Stegostoma tigrinum: one gene and its partner. The protein of the gene in region 1 interacts with the protein of each later gene in a pairwise test. Links are inferred from orthologs where the notes say so. Each region holds a gene or a part of one and is shown on either strand. Other genes may lie near its edges.

Region 1 (10,405 bases):
ATTGAATGCTACAGACCCTTTAGGTTTGTCTTTTTGTACCACTTCCACTATTTAGTTTAAAAGATCTCTCTACTTCCCTTGTTAAAATATTTGCTAGAGCATTAGTCAAGGCACTTTTTGGGTGTAGATCATTCTAACAGGATAGCCCATGTTTCTCAAGTACTGATGCCAGTATTCCATGAACTAGAACTCATTTTCCCCCCATTAACTTTCAAGTCAAAAATCACTAGTCTTGTTTCTTCTGCCAATGTGCATATGGTTCACATAGTAAAGAGATTACTATCTTTAAGTTGCTGCTCTCCAGTGTGGTGCCTGCTCCTCCTATCTGTCTAAGCAGAATCTCCTTCCTTGTACCCTGAACAAACATTCCAAATCTTGGCACCAGGTCGGCAACATAGTTTATTGGCCTCACGCTTTAGGCTACACAGAACAGTGTCTACTCTCTCTCACTATACTATCCCCAGCTAAAGCAAACAGGAAGAACAGTAAACCTGCGCAAACGCTAATGTTCTAACACTTAGCCCTCATTTACAGTATCAGTGCCCTTTCCCTATTCTAATGGTTGTGATCACGTCCTAGTACAAAATAGCAGTGTGACAATGTCCCTTCCTGATATTCGCAATATCTGTGATTCATCCTCCAGCACAAACAGAACAGAAGCCGTTCCAGCTATAAACTATGACTACAGATACGTCTGGGCTGGATCATTCTAGCATCCAGAAGCTCCCAAATGCTGCAGCCATAACACATTACCTGCCCTTCTATCCTTAATGTTTTCATTAACTAAATAATTTGTTCAAGTTTATTTTACATTCTTTATTGTTTTCATTCAGTCTGTGTACTGTTTAAAACCTTACGAATAGATTAGCTTTTAACGACTGGACTGATACCCAAACATTAGCACCCACCACCAATGGTGAGATTTTACACAATGAAGCCTAGCCCATCAGTGTTTTAAAATGCTAACCTTTAAGGCATTTTAACAAATAGAACAGGGATTAACACGAAGTCCAAACATGAAATCCTCAGTTAGCGCCCCCCCCCCCACCCCGAGCTTCTAAACACGCACAGAATGATTCCTCCAATAATAGGATAGTATTCAAAATACTTCAACTGATGCATGAAGGATCTTGTGAAGACTTTTGACCCTGCCTACACCCAGCATATAGATCATGATTGTCAACAAGGCGCTTGACAAGATGTACACTGCTTAGTAAGGTTAGATCACATGGAATCCAGGGAGAACTACCACTTGGATGCAAAATTGGCTTAAACGTAGGAGACAGAGGGTGGTGGGGGCAATGGACTGTAACCAGCGATAGGGTGCCGGAGGGTCAGTGCTCAGTCCACTGCTTTATGTCACTTATATAAATGATTTAGATGCAATTAGAGGAGGAATGGTTAGTAAATTTATAGATTACACCAAAATTGGTGGTGTAGTGAACAGTAAAGAAAGTTATCTCAGAAATTATTGGGGAGGCAATGGCCTAGCGGTATTATCACTGGACTGTTAATCTAGAGACCGAGGTAACATTCCAGGGATCTGGATTCAAATCCCACCGTGGCAGATGACGGAATTTGAATTCAATAAATATCTGGATGATGACCATTGCTGATTGTCAGAAAATCCCATCTGGTTCACTAATGCCATTTAGGGAAGGAAACTGGCATCCTTACCTGGTCTACCCTATGTGTGACCCCAGACCCACAGCATCAGGGTTAATTCTTAACTGCCCTCTGGGCAATTAGTGATGGGCAATAAGTGCTGCTCTGGCCAGTGATGCCTTCATCCCGTGAACGAATAAAGGAATACAACAGGACCTTGTTCAGATGGGCCAGGGAGTGGCAGATGGAGTTGAGTTTAGATAAATGTGAGGTGTTGCATTTTCAAAAGGCAAATCAGGACAGGACTTGTGTACTTAATGGGGAGTATTGCTGAACAAAAAGCCCTTTGGGTGCATGTTCATAGTTCCTTGAATATGGAGTTGTAGGTAGATAGGATAGTGAAGGCGGCATTTGGTACACTAGCCTTTATTGGCCAGTGCATGGAGGACAGGAGTTGAGAAGTCATGCTGTAGAGGTCTTGAATATAAAAGCAGGGATGTACTGCTGGGGCTTTGGAAGGCACTGGTCAGGCCACATTGGAGTATGGTGTGCGGTTTTGGGCCTCATATCTCGAGAAGGATGTACTGGCCCAGGAGCGGGTTCAGAGGAGGTTCACGAGAATGGTCACAGGAATGGAAAGCTTAAAATACGAGGAATGTTTGAGGACTCAGAGTATACTCATTGGAGTTTGGAAGGCTGGGGGCAATTAATTGAACTTTCAGAATACTTTATGGCCTGGACAAAGGGGATGTTGGGAAGATGCTTCCATTGATTGGACAGCCTAGGACCCAAGGGCACAACCTTAGAGTAAAAGGGAAGACCTATTAGAGCAGAGATAAGGAGAAACTACTTTAGCTAGAGATTGGTGAATCAATGGAATTCACTGCCAAAGCAGGCTGTGGAGGCCAGGTCATTGAGTACATTTAAGATTGAGATAGATACGTTCTTGATTATCAAGGGCTACGGGGAGAAACCAGTAGAATGGGGCTGAGGAACTTATCAGCCATGATTGAATGGCAGAACAGACTTGAAGGGCCGAACAGCCTAATTTCTGCTCCTCTGTCTTATGGTCTTATACAGGACATTAGTTAGGCCACTGTTGGAATACTGCACTCAATTCTGGTCTCCCTGCTGTAGGAAAAAAAGTGTTGTTAAACTTGAAAGGGTGCAGTAAAGATTACAAGGATGTTGCTGGGGTTGGAGAGCTTCAGTTGTAGGAAGAGGTTAAATAGGCTAAGGCTATTTTCCACGGAGTGTCAGAGACACATTTAAAAGGCATCTGGATGTGTACACGAATAGGAACGGTTTAAGAGAGACATGGGCCAAATGCTGGCAAATAAGTCTAGGTTAATTTTGGAAATCTGTTCAGCACCGATGAGTTGGACCAAAGGGCCTATTTTCGTGCTGTACGATTCTACGACCCGTTAGAGAGGGCAGCACTCAATCTTTTGGCTGAGACATTGAACCTGGATCCCTATCTGCCCTCTCACGTAGATATAAAGTACCCCCCTGCACATTCTTTTACATTCAAGCCAATACTGACTATACAAACAGCACCACAAAAATAGATGATCTAGAAAACTGGTCACTATCACGTTGTTGATTTAGACCTTGCGGTACATAAATTGGCTGTTCCGTTATTTGCTTTGCAACATTGACTACATTTCAGAAGTACCTGCCGAAAATGAGAAAGGCACTACAGAAAGGTAAGCGTGAGGAGGCTAGAATTCTCTTTGCTGCTGCTGCTGCTTCTTCTATGGCAACCTAGAACAGAATTTGTGTTAAAGCGTTCAGAGCTCGATCACTGCAACTTCCTCACAGGAAGCAACGGCTTCCGCAGCAATTGAACCTCAAGGGTGACAGGGCCAGGTCCCGGGGGAGCCCGTACCTGCAACACCCAGCGAGGGACACGGGCTGGAGGGAGGTGCGGAAGGAGCAATGGAACCCGAGGGCAGAGCACGGCCCCGAACAGCCCTATCCCAGAACAGTATCCTCCCTCTTACCCTCTAATGGGGTAATTGTTCCCTTCCCTGATACTCACCGCCCGGCCCGGAAGCCGCGGTGCCGTGTTCTTATACTTCGAGCTTCGGAAGCGGTTCATTGCTCCCGCTCTAACAGCGACTAGACAAACGATTGCTCCACCTGTCCGAATAGCCGGGAACGACTGGAACAGCCACACAGGGGAGGGGAGGGGTGGGACCGGGCCACGCCTTGCACATCCCCGCAGCCAGCGCGCCCGTCCACCAGACAATCAGAGGCACCGCCCACTGCTGCAATGTTAGATTGAAGAGGTAAATCTCCACAATCGTACAGCATCACTGTCTCACAAAACAAGAGTTACGACTGCCGGTGGGTTTAACATGATACTTCAGGCGAGGTGATAGCCTGAGGATGAGAATCCTTCGTGTTAACTTCTACCAGCGCAGAAACTGAACCCACACTGTCGGGATCACTGTGCATTACGGACCAGCTGTCCAGCCAAAATAGCACCTCCTCCACAGGAGAGAGTGACACGGCTCACAAGAGCAAGCCAGCAATTAGTGGAGTAAATGGGAATAGCCTGAGGTCAACGCTCATTCACAAACATTCACTTCTTCCTCCACCACCAATGTTCAGATGCAGCAGTGTCTACTAGCGACAAGATGCACTGCAGAAATTCACCACGAGTGAATAAAGAAAGTGCATAAAGTGGAGGATTCTTGAGACAATGGGTGGAACCTAGGAATTACATGGGGAAATTCTTAATAGGTAAGTGCCTATAGACATATGAATCTCTACAGTATGGAAAGAGGCCATTCAGCCTGTCAAGTTCTGCACTAACCTTCCAAAGAGCAGCCGACCCAATCCCCATAATCTACATTTACCAAGGCCAAGCCACCTAATCTGTAAATCTTTGGACTGTAGGAGGAAACGGCAGTACCTAGAGGATACTGACACAGACACAGGGAGAATGTGTAAACAAAACTTGTTGCCCAACTAGTTGCCAAAACTAGGATCAAACCCAGGCCCCAGACACAATGAGGCAGGAGTGCTAAACCACTGTGCCACCGTGTCATGCACAGATGGAGTGTGGGCCTCAATTGGTGGGAGCAAGAACAAAAGAACACTGCACAACTCATTTACAGGACAGTTTTAAATCTTGCCTGCAAACATCTGATATGTTGTGTCAACAATGATTTGTGTTTATATATCACCACTAAATGTAGTAAAATGTCTGATGAGTATTATTAGAGTGTTCTGAGGTATCTTAACAGTTACAATACTCACTTATTCAGTACTCCATTGGATTATGAGTTTAGATATCTGGAACAGGATTTGAACTTTCTAACTATGAAGTAAGATTGATACAATGGAGAAGTCTCTGCAAGTCCCCAGCTACTCGTTGTTCCTTGTAGAAGACTTTGCCGACCAGTAAAAGCCATGAAATCCATTGTCTAGGTGCTGTCAACTACAGGTCCTGTCAGCAAGACTTCATAGCAGCAAGTAGGTAAGCAAAACTATATTCACAATGAAATCTCTATAGAATGTATGGTATGATCACTCGCTTTACTGTTTGCAGTTTCCAAAATCCTTTGTTAGATTTTGGAGTAGCAATTTTTGCCTCATTCCATGCCAGAGAGCACCGAAGTTTCCACAAGCAGGAGCTCCTACTGATTAACAACTGCATCCTTGTAAGGTTTAAATCTGGAGCCTCCAGTACATTGGTAGTGCCTGTACCTTTGGGCTAGATACCAAATCCCACTTTCCCCAGTTATGTTTTTGAACAGGTTGATTGAAAGTAATTAATGTTTGAATCTGTGGGCCTTGCCTTAAGTTAAAAAGGAAGTCAGAACCCTCATTCCTCCCTGATGATAAAACGAGACAAAACAAAATTCGACTTGTATGAGTCAAAATAAGCTGAGGACAAATGCCAACAGAGCAAGACATAAAAAGGTACAGTATCTAAGTTAAATCAAGGAAACACACCAGCAGCTTTCTTTAAGGGAAATTGTTTAAATAATAAATACATGTACAAGAAATCAGCCTAAAGCTATCCACCTAAGTCTCTGAATAAGCACAGAATCAATGGTGCAAGAGGCTATTTCGCCCATCATGTTTGTACCGAGATAGTATCATTAAATCATTTTCACCGGGCTGGGAGGATAGACACCGTCTCAAATTAATGTCTCAGCAAAAAGATGACCTCTGTAGCAGTGCAGCAATACTTCCCTGGATGGGAGCATAGGCCTAACACATAACTGACGGTGGATGAACCTAACTCCAGGCTACGAGGCAACTAGGCTTGTTGCGCAGGCGCAATATGATTATGGGACGGTTGTGCGCATGTGCAGGACCGGAAAGGGTTGTTGGTCTGCGCAGGCGCTAAGATGGCGGCTGCACGGTGCTACCTTCGCTTGGTGTCGGTGACCTGGAACCCATTGGCTGGAGCCCGGCCTGGCACCGTGCGGATACTCGCCACTCGGGGTCTCCGTACTGCCTTTTGTCTGGGCCCTGGATTGTTATCGGCTGGTGGTCTGGGTCTCAGGTTCGGCCTGGAACTAAGATTGCGGCTGTCCGGTAAGGAAAGCGAGCAGGTTCGGCTGGCGTCGGCCTGGTAACTATTGCATGGCCTGTCTCGCCCCATGACAGAGAGGAAATTCAAGCGACCCCTGGAAGGGCAGTGTCAATGCTCCCCTCCACAATCAGGGCAGTGTCTGTACTCCCAGGCATTATCCCACTGGGGATAGATTGTCTGGTAAGGAAAGATTTGGACTTGCTTGCGATGAATCATGAGCATCAGATGTAGCTGTTGCCGTTAGTCAGAGGAGAAAACGATGTCACTTCTTGATGCAAGGACGAAAATGGTTTATAGTTTTTTTTTAAATGCGGGAGATTGTGGGTGTTTTTCCTAATTGTTCTTTTCCCTTTCATTTGCCTCAAGCTTGTTCACCAAATTCTCTAGGTGTTGCTGCATTTCATACAGCTTCTCCTTTAGCCAAAACTGATTATTATGAGGTGTTGGGGATCCCTCGCAACTCAACGCAAAGAGAGATAAAGAAAGCTTATTATCAGGTATGAGAAGCGAATGTCATTTAAACCAGACTTACAACTTAAGTTCCTGTATTTATACAAGTAATCAGTGGGAATTTTTTTTAATTGCACCAAGCCATCGACCAGAATAATTTTTCCAGCTCATCAAATTGAATTGTGTAATTGGAATCTTAGTCAAATTTAATTTACTTTAATGTCTTCCTCTCCCTCCTTGTCATGAAGGAGCTGAATTTGCTAGTCCACTTTCATGACATCAAGAGTTGCAAGTGGCCAATTTTAACTGATGAATCTGAATCTAGACAGTATCTACTGGGTCAAATTTGAATTCTCTCTTATAAATGAAGCCGCTTTTAAAATAATATGTCTGCGGTGGTGACTGTCTGGTGCAGATATGTCATGAAATTTGTCTGGGGTAGATAGGACTTGAACCTGAACCACTTCGGCAGAGGGGCACTATCACTGCAACACTGTCTGGTGTATACTTTAAACAAAAACATGGAAAAGAATTACATTGGGAAATTTGTCTTAATCAAACCTATTTTAATAGTTGGAGTACTTATCCCAGCAAAGCCTACAGGGGAAAGATTGGTTTCAGTTATAACTACTTGTAGCTTTGAATAAATCTTGTGTTCTTGCATATACAGCTTGCAAAGAAATACCACCCAGATACAAACAAAGATGATCCAAAGGCAAAGGAGAAATTTTCCCAAGTGGCAGAAGCATATGAGGTAATGAATGTATTGCAATGAAAGCCCCTAACTGTATTGCACAAGCTGTCTAGTCCGGAAGGGAGTTTCTGGGCTCCGAGTTGGCTGATCATGTGGGGAGGTGGACAGCAGATGTCAGCACAGCCACAGCATTTCCACTTTTCGTGGAGGGAAGAGAGGGGTTGAGAATTGTGTGTGTAGCTGGGAGTTGTGGGTGAAGGAACCAGTGTTCTATTCATGTGCCACTACCAGCACAACTGAATAGTTAGGTAATCTCTAAAGAACAACACCACAGTATGAATATTCTAACTTGAGGTAAAAAACTGTGAAAATTGTGTGACAATCAGTGTCTATTCTCAAACAGTAATACAGGATTCCTAGGGATCGTTATTCCTGAGTTTATTTGTTAATTGGTTTCCAGCTCTGATCGATATTAATTGTGCATTACAGGTTCTGAGTGATGAAGTGAAGCGGAAACAGTATGACTCTTATGGGAGAGTTGGATTTGATGCAGGAGGGTCAAGGAGTCAGGAATACTGGCATTCAGGGCCTTCAGTGGATCCAGAGGAGCTTTTCAGACGCATCTTTGGGGAATTTACTGGTTCTGGATTCAGAGATTTTAACACTGTCTTTGACCAGCACCAGGAGGTGAGTAAGCTAACTATTTGGCTATCCAGAAACCAGTGATACTGAAGATGGACAGTTCCTTGCATAGAAATAGGATTAGGCTATTCCATTCATCACACCTGTCTCACCATTCAATATAATCGTGGCTGATCAAACGCTTCATTGCCCACAAAATCCCCAAGAGACTGTTTCTCGGCTTCGCTTAAGGAAAGAAGTAATAGGAGCAGCAGTGAACCATTTGGCTCTGTGAGCCTGCTCTGTCATTTAGTCATAACTAACATTGTGCTTGACCTGTCTTTTCCAGAAGTTTCCCATGTTCCTTGATTTCCTGAGAAATCAAACATCTGTCTGTCTCTGATCTGATCTGATCTGACATCAAACATCTGATCTGTCACATCTGCCAATGTGGTATACTGCATCCACTGTACCCAGTGTGGCTTCCTCTACATTGGGGAAACCAAGCGGAGGCTTGGAGACCGCTTTGCAGAACACCTCCGCTCAGTTCGCAACAAACTACTGCATCTCCCAGTCGCAAACCATTTCCACTCCCCCTCCCATTCTTTAGATGACATGTCCATCATGGGCCTCCTGCAGTGCCACAATGATGCCACCCGAAGGTTGCAGGAACAGCAACTCATATTCCGCCTGGGAACCCTGCAGCCTAATGGTATCAATATGGACTTCACCAGTTTCAAAATCTCCCCTTCCCCAACTGAATCCCTAAACCAGCCCAGTTCGTCCCCTCCCCCCACTGCACCACACAACCAGCCCAGCTCTTCCCCTCCACCCACTGCATCCCAAAACCAGTCCAACCTGTCTCTGCCTCCCTAACCTGTTCTTCCTCTCACCCATCCCTTCCTCCCACCCCAAGCCGCACCCCCAACTACCTACTAACCTCATCCCACCTCCTTGACCTGTCCGTCTTCCCTGGACTGACCTATCCCCTCCCTACCTCCCCACCTATACTCTCTCCACCTATCTTCTTTTCTCTCCATCTTCGGTCCACCTCCCCCTCTCTCCCTATTTATTCCAGAACCCTCACCCCATCCCCCTCTCTGATGAAGGCTCTAGGCCTGAAACGTCAGCTTTTGTGCTCCTGAGATGCTGCTTGGCCTGCTGTGTTCATCCAGCCTCACATTTTGTTGTCTTGGATTCTCCAGCATCTGCACTTCCCATTATATCTGTCTGTCTCTCTCAGCTTTAAATATTTCAGAACCATTTTGGATCTTCTGGGTTAATTTGCACTCTACACCATGTGCCTTCAGGTTACTGTACAAGGTCACTGAATAATTAACTCATCAGACAGCAGATCAAACTGATAACTGAATGCTTTCTTTTTTTGGTTACTTTTTTTAGCAAGTGGTATTTCAGCATCCAACAGTTGGCCATAAATAACCAAAGCATCCTGGGGCAATTCGAAGTGTTTTGATTGACCTTAGATCGCTATCGAGTGATCAAGCTTGTCTTACCCGTGCAGGAGCTGTTTATGATAATAGTATGGATTCAATATTTGAACACCACCTATTCCTTAAATATCCCTTAAAGCTATTACTGCTGCTTACCACTTACTCTTAAACATATTTGAAAATAACTTGTTGTCATTAGCCTAACAATATATCTCTCATGTATGTGGTTCGAATTTGTGATGACTTACATGTTAAATGGCAGCCTAGTAATGAGTTGAGCTTGGTTCATGATCCTGCTGTTAAACCATTTGACATTATCATGAGATTTAAAGCAAAAGGCATCAAACCAATACAAAACACACACATTATAGAGAAAATTTTGTTTCAATTGGAGTTTGGATGAGATTTACACATTTTAAAATCAAGTTCAGGAATTGTCTTTGAGCTTTGGCTTTACACAGTAATGATGCTTAATATTGCTTCTTAGACACTATATGGGTATCTAATATTTGATATTCCTCTGCAGTATATCATGGAACTGACCTTTACACAGGCTGCAAAAGGTGTCAACAAGGAGATTACGGTGAATTTAGAGGACACATGCCAGAGATGTGATGGTAAGGGAAATGAACCAGGAACCAAAGTCCAGCACTGCCATTATTGCAATGGAAGTGGCATGGTGAGTACAAACGTTGTCAGTGACCTTCTTTGCCCTTCCCTCCCAAAGGCAGTGTATTTTACTGGGTTCAGTTCCAGGGGTTGTCCAGAGTATTTGTTTTTTTTGGTTTGGATTCTGTATGAATGTACGCAAAAGAAGCAAACTCAGTGTTTGGGGTACAATACTGATACAGTGGTATTTGTCTTTAGAGAAAGTGGCCTTCTCATTGTATGCTTTTAAGACTACATGGTACAGTACATTTCACAAACTCACTATTGAAAAGTGCACAAGAACAAGGGTTCTGTTTTCTCCTGCTAGATACATTGTGAGAATGATGTGAGGACCTAGAGAATTACATCATGAGGACAGAT
Region 2 (10,168 bases), on another chromosome or scaffold:
AAGGGAGATTTTGATTTGATTTTCTTTTTCATATACACAAATGTGGGGAGTGGAGGAAGCAGGCAATCTTGCCTCATGTGCTTGGGGGAAGGATTCTTCTTACATGTTCTTAGGCTGCTTTCCATCTACCCAGTCCACTTGCTCTAAAAGGCCGAACACACGTGACAGATATCTGGGAAAGGGCACTGTCTGTCTTATAGGAAATGTCTACAAATTTCTAAAGCATGGATATACGAAGCAAACGTACAGATCTCGAGGCACAGAAACTTGGGGCAGACCTGTAGATGTTTGAGATACAGACAGAAAGGGGAATCCTGTAGAGCTCATACAGATATGTGGACAAGATCTCTCAGATAGATATACAGAGGACATTCTTACAAATGTTGAGAGATCTGGCTATATGGGAAAGAACCATCAGCCTGTTCAGAAAGGCATGTACAGTACCTAGCTCTGCCGCAGACTTCTTCTGATTCAACCCCTGCATGCCCTCTGAACATGACTCTGTTTGAAGCCCTCTGAAGCTCCCGCAGGCGTTCATTTTCTTGCCGTAGTTCCAAGATATCTTTGGTAGCCTTTGACAGAGCAGCCCAGGGGTCTGTGTCCACTGCTGGTGAGCCAGGGCGCCGAGCCTCAAAGTGTGATGGAGGGATCAAGTCTGCCGCTTCTGCAGATAAAGAAGAAGCTCCATTTATAGTTCCAGCAACAGACAGGTGGGAGTGCTGACATTTCTAAATCCTGCACTCAGTTCTGACTTAATTAACCTCCTGGAAAGGAAGTTATTGGCTGGAACATGCAAATAACTACATATTAATATTTCTTCTTTCAGGTTTGGAGGCCTGTTGTTTGAAAGGTACCTAAATCTCAGAGATGAAAATGACAGACCTAATGTTTCAAGCCTCTCTTCATACTTGTCCACACAGTCCTATCTGGCACATCATGGTCAACCTAGGAATCCAATATCACTATTGCCACAATTTCTATTGAAAGGTTCAAAACCTACTAACTGACAGTGCTACAACTTTGTTCTTACAAACCACACATTCATAAGAACTTTCAGTTGCCAATTTTCTTTTATCTAGTTATCTATAAGCAATAGAGTGCATTATTCATGTCTGATTTCCAACGGTATGTTTTGTTGTGTATGAGTTCAGGGTGTTTGTACATCACATCCAGAAATGTGTATGTACAATACATGAATTTCTCAACTGTGTACACATATCTATCATACACATATTTCAAAGATCTATAGGACCACTCAACATACTTAGACCTCAGATATATTGAGTTGAGATTAAAATTAAATCAGCCATAATCTTATTGAATAGCAGAGCAGGTATGAAGGACTGATTGGCCTACTCTTGGCCCTTGTTTGTATATCAACAAAAGTAACTCACGAGTCTGTGTCTAAAGATCTATATATCTGTTCGACATACTTATACCTCAGATATCAACTGGGTTGTCCCATACATTCGTAACCCCAGGTATCTATACATCTACCAACATGTCAATACTGTAGATATCTAAATGTCTACTCTGAATGTTTATATTTAAACCCTCTAAGTTTTCCTCTTAGCCAGGCATCATACTGAAGCTGATTTTCACCCACTTGTGTCCCAGGGAACGATACATTTTATCTGCAAATCTCCAGAATCTATAGCTGCTCCTCACTCTTGGGGGTCTACAGATCACTCCAATATCAACAGACCTATTAATTCATCTCCGTATTCCAGGGAACTATACTCTTATCTAGGAATCTATGGATTTATCCCATATCCCAGGGATCTATAAATGTATCCCCATTTGCCAGGCATCTATAGATTTATTCCCATACACCAGGCATCCAGAGATGTCTCTCACATATTGGGGTTATGGATAACTCCACTCCCCCAAGATCTGTACAGTTGTTCCCATACCCAGAGAACTACAGATTTATCCGCACTTCCCAGGAATCTATAGGTTTATCCCAACGTCCCGAAGATCTGCAGGTTTATCCCCAATTCCAAGAGATCTGCAGGTTTATCCCCATTTCCCGGGGATCTAAAGATCGTTCTTGCATCCTGGTAATCTGTAGGTTTTTCTCTATATCTCAGGGGCCAATAGAAATTTCCCATTTCCTAGGATCCACAGACACCTCAATATTCCTGGAATATGCAGCAATGTCTACATTTCATGGATCTACTATCCCAGGTCTCAGGGATCTATAGATCTCTCCCCCAGGGATTTACTCCTGTGCCATGCGGAGATTAGGGTTCCCATTTGCATCTTTCAACAGTGTCTTTTTTTAAAATTTGCATATATATTTGCTTCCTTTTACCGTGATGCCTGCCGCTGAAAGTTATCGGTGGCTCCGCTCCCTGCTCGAGCTGCCGCCGGCTCCTCTCAGACATGGCGCGGCCGACCGTTAATACCGCGGTGTCCCAGGAACACACGTCCGCCGGAAACAGGTTGCTGCCACCTCCAGCCACCCAGTGGTGTCCCGGAAACACCCGTCCGCCGGAAACCGATTACCCTCCACCTCCACAAATCCGTTCCACCCATCCAAGTGCCCCAGGGCACAGCCGTCGGCCTCGGGGAACAAAAAAAAAGTCAGCCAACAACAAAATCAAAAGCGTTCCCTGTATGGTTTTCCTAGTGTAGTGACTGGAACTAGTTGGATCCTAATGACTATGAGATCCCTGATAGGGGCTGTGAAGCAGGGCCACTCAAGGAGCCCTGGCTGACAGATATAAACAGGAGACACAGAGTCTCCTCACGTAATGGACTGACTCCAAACTAGCTGATCACAATCTGTAAACCGTGCACATGTAAATAAAGGGCGACTTGGTGACGGGATACTGGCCTCTGTACAGTTCTTTCACAGTCAATGACATGCATTGTGTTTGTTGTTCAGACACACTCTCCGTTGTGCAGTAGGGAGTAGAGAATTGGTAGGATCCCCAAACAGCATATTTTTGCACTCTCCCACCAGTTACAATATGGTAATGAACATATCTCTGGGGCAGTGGAAGGACCAAGCTGGATATAGTCAGCATCAGGTTGCTTCTGTGAAGAAGCATTCCACATTAAGCAGAGGTTCACCTGCACATCTGCCAATGTGGTATACTGCATCCACTGTACCCGGTGCGGCTTCCTCTACATTGGGGAAACCAAGCGGAGGCTTGGGGACCGCTTTGCAGAACACCTCCGCTCAGTTCGCAACAAACAACTGCACCTCCCAGTCGCAAACCATTTCCACTCCCCCTCCCATTCTCTAGATGACATGTCCATCATGGGCCTCCTGCAGTGCCACAATGATGCCACCCGAAGGTTGCAGGAACAGCAACTCATATTCCGCCTGGGAACCCTGCAGCCCAATGGTATCAATGTGGACTTCACCAGTTTCAAAATCTCCCCTTCCCCTACTGCATCCCTAATCCAGCCCAGTTCGTCCCCTCCCCCCACTGCACCACACAACCAGCCCAGCTCTTCCCCTCCACCCACTGCATCCCAAAACCAGTCCAACCTGTCTCTGCCTCCCTAACCGGTTCTTCCTCTCACCCATCCCTTCCTCCCACCCCAAGCCGCACCCCCATCTACCTACTAACCTCATCCCACCTCCTTGACCTGTCCATCTTCCCTGACTGACCTATCCCCTCCCTACCTCCCCACCTACACTCTCTCCACCTATCTTCTTTACTCTCCATCTTCGGTCCGCCTCTCCCTCTCTCCCTATTTATTCCAGTTCCCTCTCCGATGAAGGGTCTAGGCCCGAAACGTCAGCTTTTGTGCTCCTGAGATGCTGCTTGGCCTGCTGTGTTCATCCAGCCTCACATTTTATTATCTTTGCTTCTGTGAAGAAACACAGTTCAGATTAATCACCTTCCATCAGAATTCAAACTGAAATTTTGTACCTCGGTGCTGCCACAGCACCTACCCTTCACCTCCATCCAAGGCCCAAGACAAACTTTCCATGTATGACAGGGATTCACCTGCATATCATTCCACCTGGTCTACTGTATCCATTGTTCTTGATGTGGTCTCTTCCACATAGATTAAACCAAATGTACACTTGGAGACTGATTCGAGGAGCATCTGCACTCTGCACGCTAATATCAACAGCACCTTCCAGTCGAACCACTTTAACCACCCCCCCCCCCCCCGCCCTTGGGTGACATGTCCATCCTGGGCCTCCTCTAGTGCCACAATGACGCCACACGCAAACTGGAAGAGCAACACCTCATATTCCGCCTTGGGAGCCAACAGCCTGATGGCCTAAACATCCAGCCTTCCACCCACAGCCTCATCACATGTCTAACCCTCCCACTCATCCCCACTTTCTTGACCTGGCACCACCTGTCCATCTTCTTTCCCATCTATCCGCCCCACCTGTCCAACTGCCCAATCCCCACCATCCCAAACCTGCACCCACCAAACATTGTCCCACCTACCTTCAGAAGCCCCACCCCTCCTATTTATTTCTGAGCTCCCTTCCCCCTCTCCAGTCCTGATGAAGGGTCCAGATCTGAAATGTCGACTTTCCTGCTTCTCTGGTGCCGACTCTCCTCCTGTGTTCCTCCAGCTCCACACTGTATGGATGACGAAAACACTGTTAACAAGTAGCAACGGGAATTAACCGAGTCATACAGGAATACAGTTCATATTACAAAGATACTCAGCAGAGAGGGGGAGGATTTGTCTCTGTTTCAAAATGGTTGTTGGAATAGGCTGGAGGACTGGTGGGGGTTTGGGGCACATTGGTTGGTAAGCAGCAGAGTTCAGTGTCTGATCCTTTGTTTGCTCAGTCTTTGGATTCAGACACATACACAGACACACACACACACACACACACACACACACACACAAACAGACACCAAACAGTGCGGATGCCTCGAGCATGTTGACTTCATAGGTGCCTGAATGAATGTTTCCATCAAATTTGTGTTCGGTAAATGTTTTGGGTTGCATCTAGATACGAGCACTGGTTTGAACTTTTCCAATTAGCACATTTCCTCCTTAACTGAAACCAGTTCACTTATCCCTTACCTAAGGAAAAATATATTGGAGTCAGCCCTATGAAGTTTTACTCGGCTGATCCCAGGTATGGAGGAACTGTCCTTTGAGGAGAGGTTGAGTAGGTAGGGTCTGTATTCTGGATGTGAGTTTGCTCACTGAGCTGGAAGGTTAGTTTTCAGACGTTTCGTCACCATTCTAGGTAACATCATCAGTGAGCGTCCGGTGAAGCGCTGGTGTTATGTCCCGCTTTCTATTTATCTGTTTCCTAAGGCTCACTGATGATGTTACCTAGAATGGTGACGAAACGTCTGAAAACGAACCTTCCAGCTCAGCGAGCAAACTCACATCTAGAACCTCAACCTGAGCTACAAATCTTCTCAAAACTTGCTAGGGTCTGTATTCATTGGATCATAGAAGAATAAGAGGGGATCTTATTGAAACAGATAAGATTCTTCGGGGGCTTGATTTGGAAAGATTGTTTCCCCTTGTTAGAGTCCAGGGTTAGAGGGCATACATGCAGAGTAAGGGGTCACCCCTCAGGAGAGCGATAAGGTGGAAATTTCTTCTCTCCAAGGGGAGTAAGTCTGTGGAATTTTTTACCGCAGAGGTCTGGAAGCCTTACTAATTACATTTCAGGCTGAGATAGATTGATAAACATTGAAGGAATTAAGGGTTATAGGAACAAGACAGGGAATGGATGGCGATTATTAGATCAGCAATGATCTCATTGAATGGCAGAGTTGACCGAAATGCTTACGTCTGTCCCTACTTATATTCTTGCAGACCCAGAGTGACTGCTGTCCCAAGTTTGTGTCCTTCTGCAACTTCTGGGTCATCTCTTCAACCCAACGTCACAAAAGAGATTCCTAAAGCAAATTTCTGCAAACCCTCAAAAAAAGGGGAGCAGTTCAAGTGGCGCCTGTTCAAAAAGATAGAGAAAGCAGTTTACATTTCGAGTTAGAACATCACCCACAGTAAGATTACCAACAGTAAAATCACGGGAATATCCCTCACAATGACATACATGACAGTAATTATCTTCCTGACCGGCCCTTTATTCCTCGTAGACCACAATCTGACAACTCTGCCTGGCACCCTGGAGGGAGGGAGGGCGGAGCGCCAGCATCAAAGATGGCAGCTCGGCCAGCCAATTGGCATCACCTCCTAGTACGCAGGCACAGTAACTGGTACCCCCGCGGAGGACAGGGATCATCTCGCGATACTTGGGGCCGCCGTTCCAGCGCGCCAATTTTCAAAGGCGCTTCCTGTAAACAGAAGGATAGACCTAGAAAGAGAGAGAGAGGCGGGGAGGATAGACAACAGACAGCTGGTCTGCCGTCGAACCGGTCGGTGGCACTGAGGAACACCGGAGAGACAACAACAACAACTACAGTGGCGCCAACTGTCCACCGCAACGGTCCGAGGTGGAAAGCCAGGCCTCAGTTCCGATGACCTAACAACTGGATCCTACCCCCGAGAGCCCAGGATTTGATGAGTTAGCAACTGGATCCTACCCCCCGGGAGCTTGGCGACCAAACATTCGGAGCCGAACCGCCATGATTCCAGGATTTGGTGACCTAACAATCGGAGCCTAGCCCCCAGGAGTGCGGGTTTTGATGACCTAACAATCGGAGCCGAGCCCCCAGGAGTGCGGGTTTTGATGACCTAACAATCGGAGCCGAGCCCCCAGGAGTGCGGGTTTTGATGACCTAACAATCGGAGCCGAGCCCCCAGGAGTGCAGGTTTTGATGACCTAACAATCGGATCCGAGCCCCCAGGAGTGCAGGTTTTGATGACCTAACAATCGGAGCCGAGCCCCCAGAAGTGCAGGTTTTGATGACCTAACAATCGGAGCCGAGCCCCCAGGAGTGCAGGTTTTGATGACCTAACAATCGGAGCCGAGCCCCCAGGAGTGCAGGTTTTGATGACCTAGCATACCCCCGACACCGACCCAGCGAGGATGCTGTCGGAGGTGCAGCCCTGCCTGCAGCTGCTCCGCATCGGCACCGCCCCGCAGCCCAGCCCGAGGCCCGGCCAGGCCACGGCGCCGACACCCGCCCGCGACCTCTACACTTTCCTGCCGGCCGGCCAGCGCTGCACCTTCCGCCTCGGCCGCCGGGCCGACCTCACCGACCTGTGCCTGAGCTCGGGGCGGGCCGAGGATCTCATCTCCCGGGTGCACGCCGAGCTGCAGGCCGAGAGGGGGGCGGCCGGGGGCGACTGGAGGGTGCACATCGTCGACAGGAGCACCAATGGTAAGGGCCTGGGTGGTGGGTGGTGGTGGGTGGTGGGGGGGGGGGGGGCGATGGAACTAGAGGACAATGGGGAGGTTATGGGGAATGTGGATAAGGGTGATTGGGGAGGATAAAGGGGAATGGTGATACGGGAAAATGGCGTGAGGGGGGTAGGATACAGTGGGATGGGTGTTTTAGTGGGTGGGATACAGGGGAATGGGGGCTAAGGGGTTGGGATACAGGGCAATGGAGATATAGGGGATGGGAGAGGTGGGGGTGTGGGATAGCCTTAGCTGAGTTCTGATGGTGGTCCTCCTGCAGTGTAACATTGATGCCACCCGAAGGTTGCAGGAACAGCAACTCATATTCCGCTTGGGAACCCTGCAGCCCAATGGTATCAATGTGGACTTCACCAGCTTCAAAATCTCCCCTTCCCCCAGCTCATCCCTGCGTCCCTAATCTGTTCTTCCTCTCACCTCAAGCCCCACCTTCCCATCCCCTGCCTACTAACCTCATCCCGCCCCCTTGACCTGTCCGTCCTCTCCGGACTGACCTATCCCCTCCCTACCTCCCCACCTACACTCACCTTTAATGGCTCCATCTCCGCCCCTTTAACTTGTCTGTCTGCTCTCCCCCTATCTTCTCCTCCATCCATCTTCTATCCGCCTCCCCCTCTCTCCCTATTTATTTCAGAACCCCTTCCCCTACCCCATTTCTGAAGAAGGATCTAGGCCCGAAATGTCAGCTTTCCTGCTCCTCTGCTGCCTGGCCTGCTGTGTTCATCCAGCTCCACACCTTGTTATCTGTTTCCTTCCGCTGTTTTTTGTTTGAATTTTTCAGCACCTGTAACATTTTGCTGTTATCTTGGAGCTGTGGGGCAGTATGAGGTCAAAGGGTGGTTTAGAGGGTGGCAGGAGGAATTAGTGTGCAACATCAGAAATCTGAAGCCGTTTTAATGTAAAATACTGTTGTGCGTTTGGTTGCCAACTGCTCAGGGTCTCTGTCATTGATGAACAGCTGTAGCCATGTTTCTGTTGGCGGGAGTGGAATATAAGTAGCTCCCTTTTTTTTCTTTAATTATTCAGAGGTTATGGTGTGGTTGGCTAGGTTTGGACCCCTGGAGGTGGTGGTTTAGCTACTGCCCTGAACCGCAGCAATCTTGGAGAGCTGCCAGGGGAGAAACTGCAGCCAGTAGCAGTTAATAGTGACAGATTTGGACTGGGTCTGGCTTGGAGGGGAGTTTGCAGTCCCAATACATCCCGCGACCTTCTCCTTTACAGTGGTAGGGTTTGAACGTGATGGGTTACTGCAGTGCATCGTGTAGACGGTGCACATTGCTGTTGCTGTGGGTCCGCGGTGGAGGGGCTGAAGTTGGCAGATCGCTCCCCAGCCAAAGGGATCACTGGGTTCTGGCTGACGTCTACTTTGGATGTTGTCGGTTTGAAAATGGGAAACGAAGCGAATTGTCCTGGTGCCCTCCTACCTGTGACAGATGGCTCATCGGAAGGAGACATGATGCTGTTTGAATGTGGGATCAGACCTGCAGTTTTCCCTAGAAACGGTGCTGTGGGTGACCTCGCTGCAGTTCTGATCGAAAGGCAGATGCGTCCTGGCCAAGCAGGACGGGCAAGAAAATAATCCCAGAAGGCGAGAGGCTCCTGAGGGAGGCTACTTCACCTGTGATAAAGGGTCCAGGCCTGAAACGTCAGCTTTCCTGCTCCTCTGATGCTGCTTGGTCTGCTGTGTTCATCCAGCTCTACAGCTTGTTATCTCAGATTCTCCAGCGTCTGCAGTTCCTACTATCTCTGATACAACTGTGACCTGTCTGTTCTCCCCTTTTCCTGGTCGAATGCTCGCAAGCTGACGGGCCTGCCTTTCGTTTTTATTCATACGAAGGAGGGTGGGCAAAGACAGAGACAAAACTTTTTACTCCCGGATGTTATGTCTGATAAACAAATCAAAAGGACACTGAGGGGCAACTTTCTGTTTTAACGCGGAGCGAGTAGACACAGCTGTTCACCCACGACAGAGACCCCGAGCAGCTGGCGGGGTGGAAGGAAGTGCCAGAGGAAGGTGCGGGTATGCAGGGGTACTTGGAAAGGTTATAAAATGTGAGGCTGGATGAACACAGCAGGCCAAGCAGCATCTCAGGAGCACAAAAGCTGACGTTTCGGCTCTGATGAAGGGTCTAGGCCCGAAACGTCAGCTTTTGTGCTCCTGAGATGCTGCTTGTCCTGCTGTGTTCATCCAGCCTCACATTTTATTATCTTGGATTCTCCAGCATCTGCAGTTCCCATTATCTCTGATACTTGGAAAGGTTTTTGGGAGACATGTGTGGGGCCAGTCTAATCCCGGGGACTTGGGTGGCCGTGTTTCAGTGCGTGCATGGCTGTTAAAAAGGAGGGGGTTTGTTTTAAAATAAAAGAGAACCAGAAGGGAAGCAGGATTCAGGCTGACGGCTGTGTTATTGCAGGCACATTTGTGAATGACATTCGGATCGCCAAAGGCGAGAGGACGGAGCTCTCCGACGGAGACACTGTCACGTTTGGCCACCCGGACGCGGTGAACATCCCGGAAGGCTCCCTGGTCGCTCAGCAGGACTCGGAGTTTTACTTCCTCTTCCAGAAGGTCCGTGTGCGCCCGGCCGACTTCGATGCCATCACCGCCGCCTCCCCCCCCAGGGCGCAGCGAGCCGGCGGGTTCCGGCCGGTCTGCCTGTCCCCGCAGCGGGCCCGGATCCGGAGCTTCACCCGGGCGCCCCCCGCCTCCCGGGCCACCCTGATCCTGAACTCCATCGGCAGCATCAGCAAACTGAGGTCGCAGCTGGTGGTGCTGCACTCGGAGGCCGCCGCCAGCGAGCCCAAGGGGGCCCTGGGCAGGTTCCGCCGCCTCCTGCTGTCGCCGGGGACGCGGCGCCACCCCACCGCCCCCGGCCCCGGCCC

The links. The genes of interacting proteins can lie anywhere in the genome.
Region 2: the proteins of dnaJ homolog subfamily A member 3, mitochondrial-like (region 1) and tcf19l interact in a two-hybrid assay, tested with the Homo sapiens proteins (2 studies listed by BioGRID and IntAct). The two-hybrid records come from large-scale screens. The link is inferred for Stegostoma tigrinum from reciprocal best matches to the Homo sapiens genes DNAJA3 and TCF19.

Annotation. Positions count from the first base shown.
Region 1 is NC_081376.1:32,395,057-32,405,461, reverse strand, and holds the start of dnaJ homolog subfamily A member 3, mitochondrial-like, read left to right. Parts: upstream 1-5,953; 5' UTR 5,954-5,972; coding exon 5,973-6,162; intron 6,163-6,526; coding exon 6,527-6,657; intron 6,658-7,280; coding exon 7,281-7,364; intron 7,365-7,793; coding exon 7,794-7,991; intron 7,992-9,902; coding exon 9,903-10,055; intron 10,056-10,405. Other genes in the region: coro7 (coronin-7), read right to left, coding at 3,647-3,706. UniProt on the Homo sapiens protein: Modulates apoptotic signal transduction or effector structures within the mitochondrial matrix. Affect cytochrome C release from the mitochondria and caspase 3 activation, but not caspase 8 activation.
Region 2 is NC_081387.1:26,380,472-26,390,639, forward strand, and holds the start of tcf19l (transcription factor 19), read left to right. Parts: upstream 1-6,264; 5' UTR 6,265-6,952; coding exon 6,953-7,247; intron 7,248-9,699; coding exon 9,700-10,168. Other genes in the region: cchcr1 (coiled-coil alpha-helical rod protein 1), read right to left, coding at 445-664, 2,315-2,387. UniProt on the Homo sapiens protein: Potential transcription factor that may play a role in the regulation of genes involved in cell cycle G1/S transition. May bind to regulatory elements of genes, including the promoter of the transcription factor FOXO1.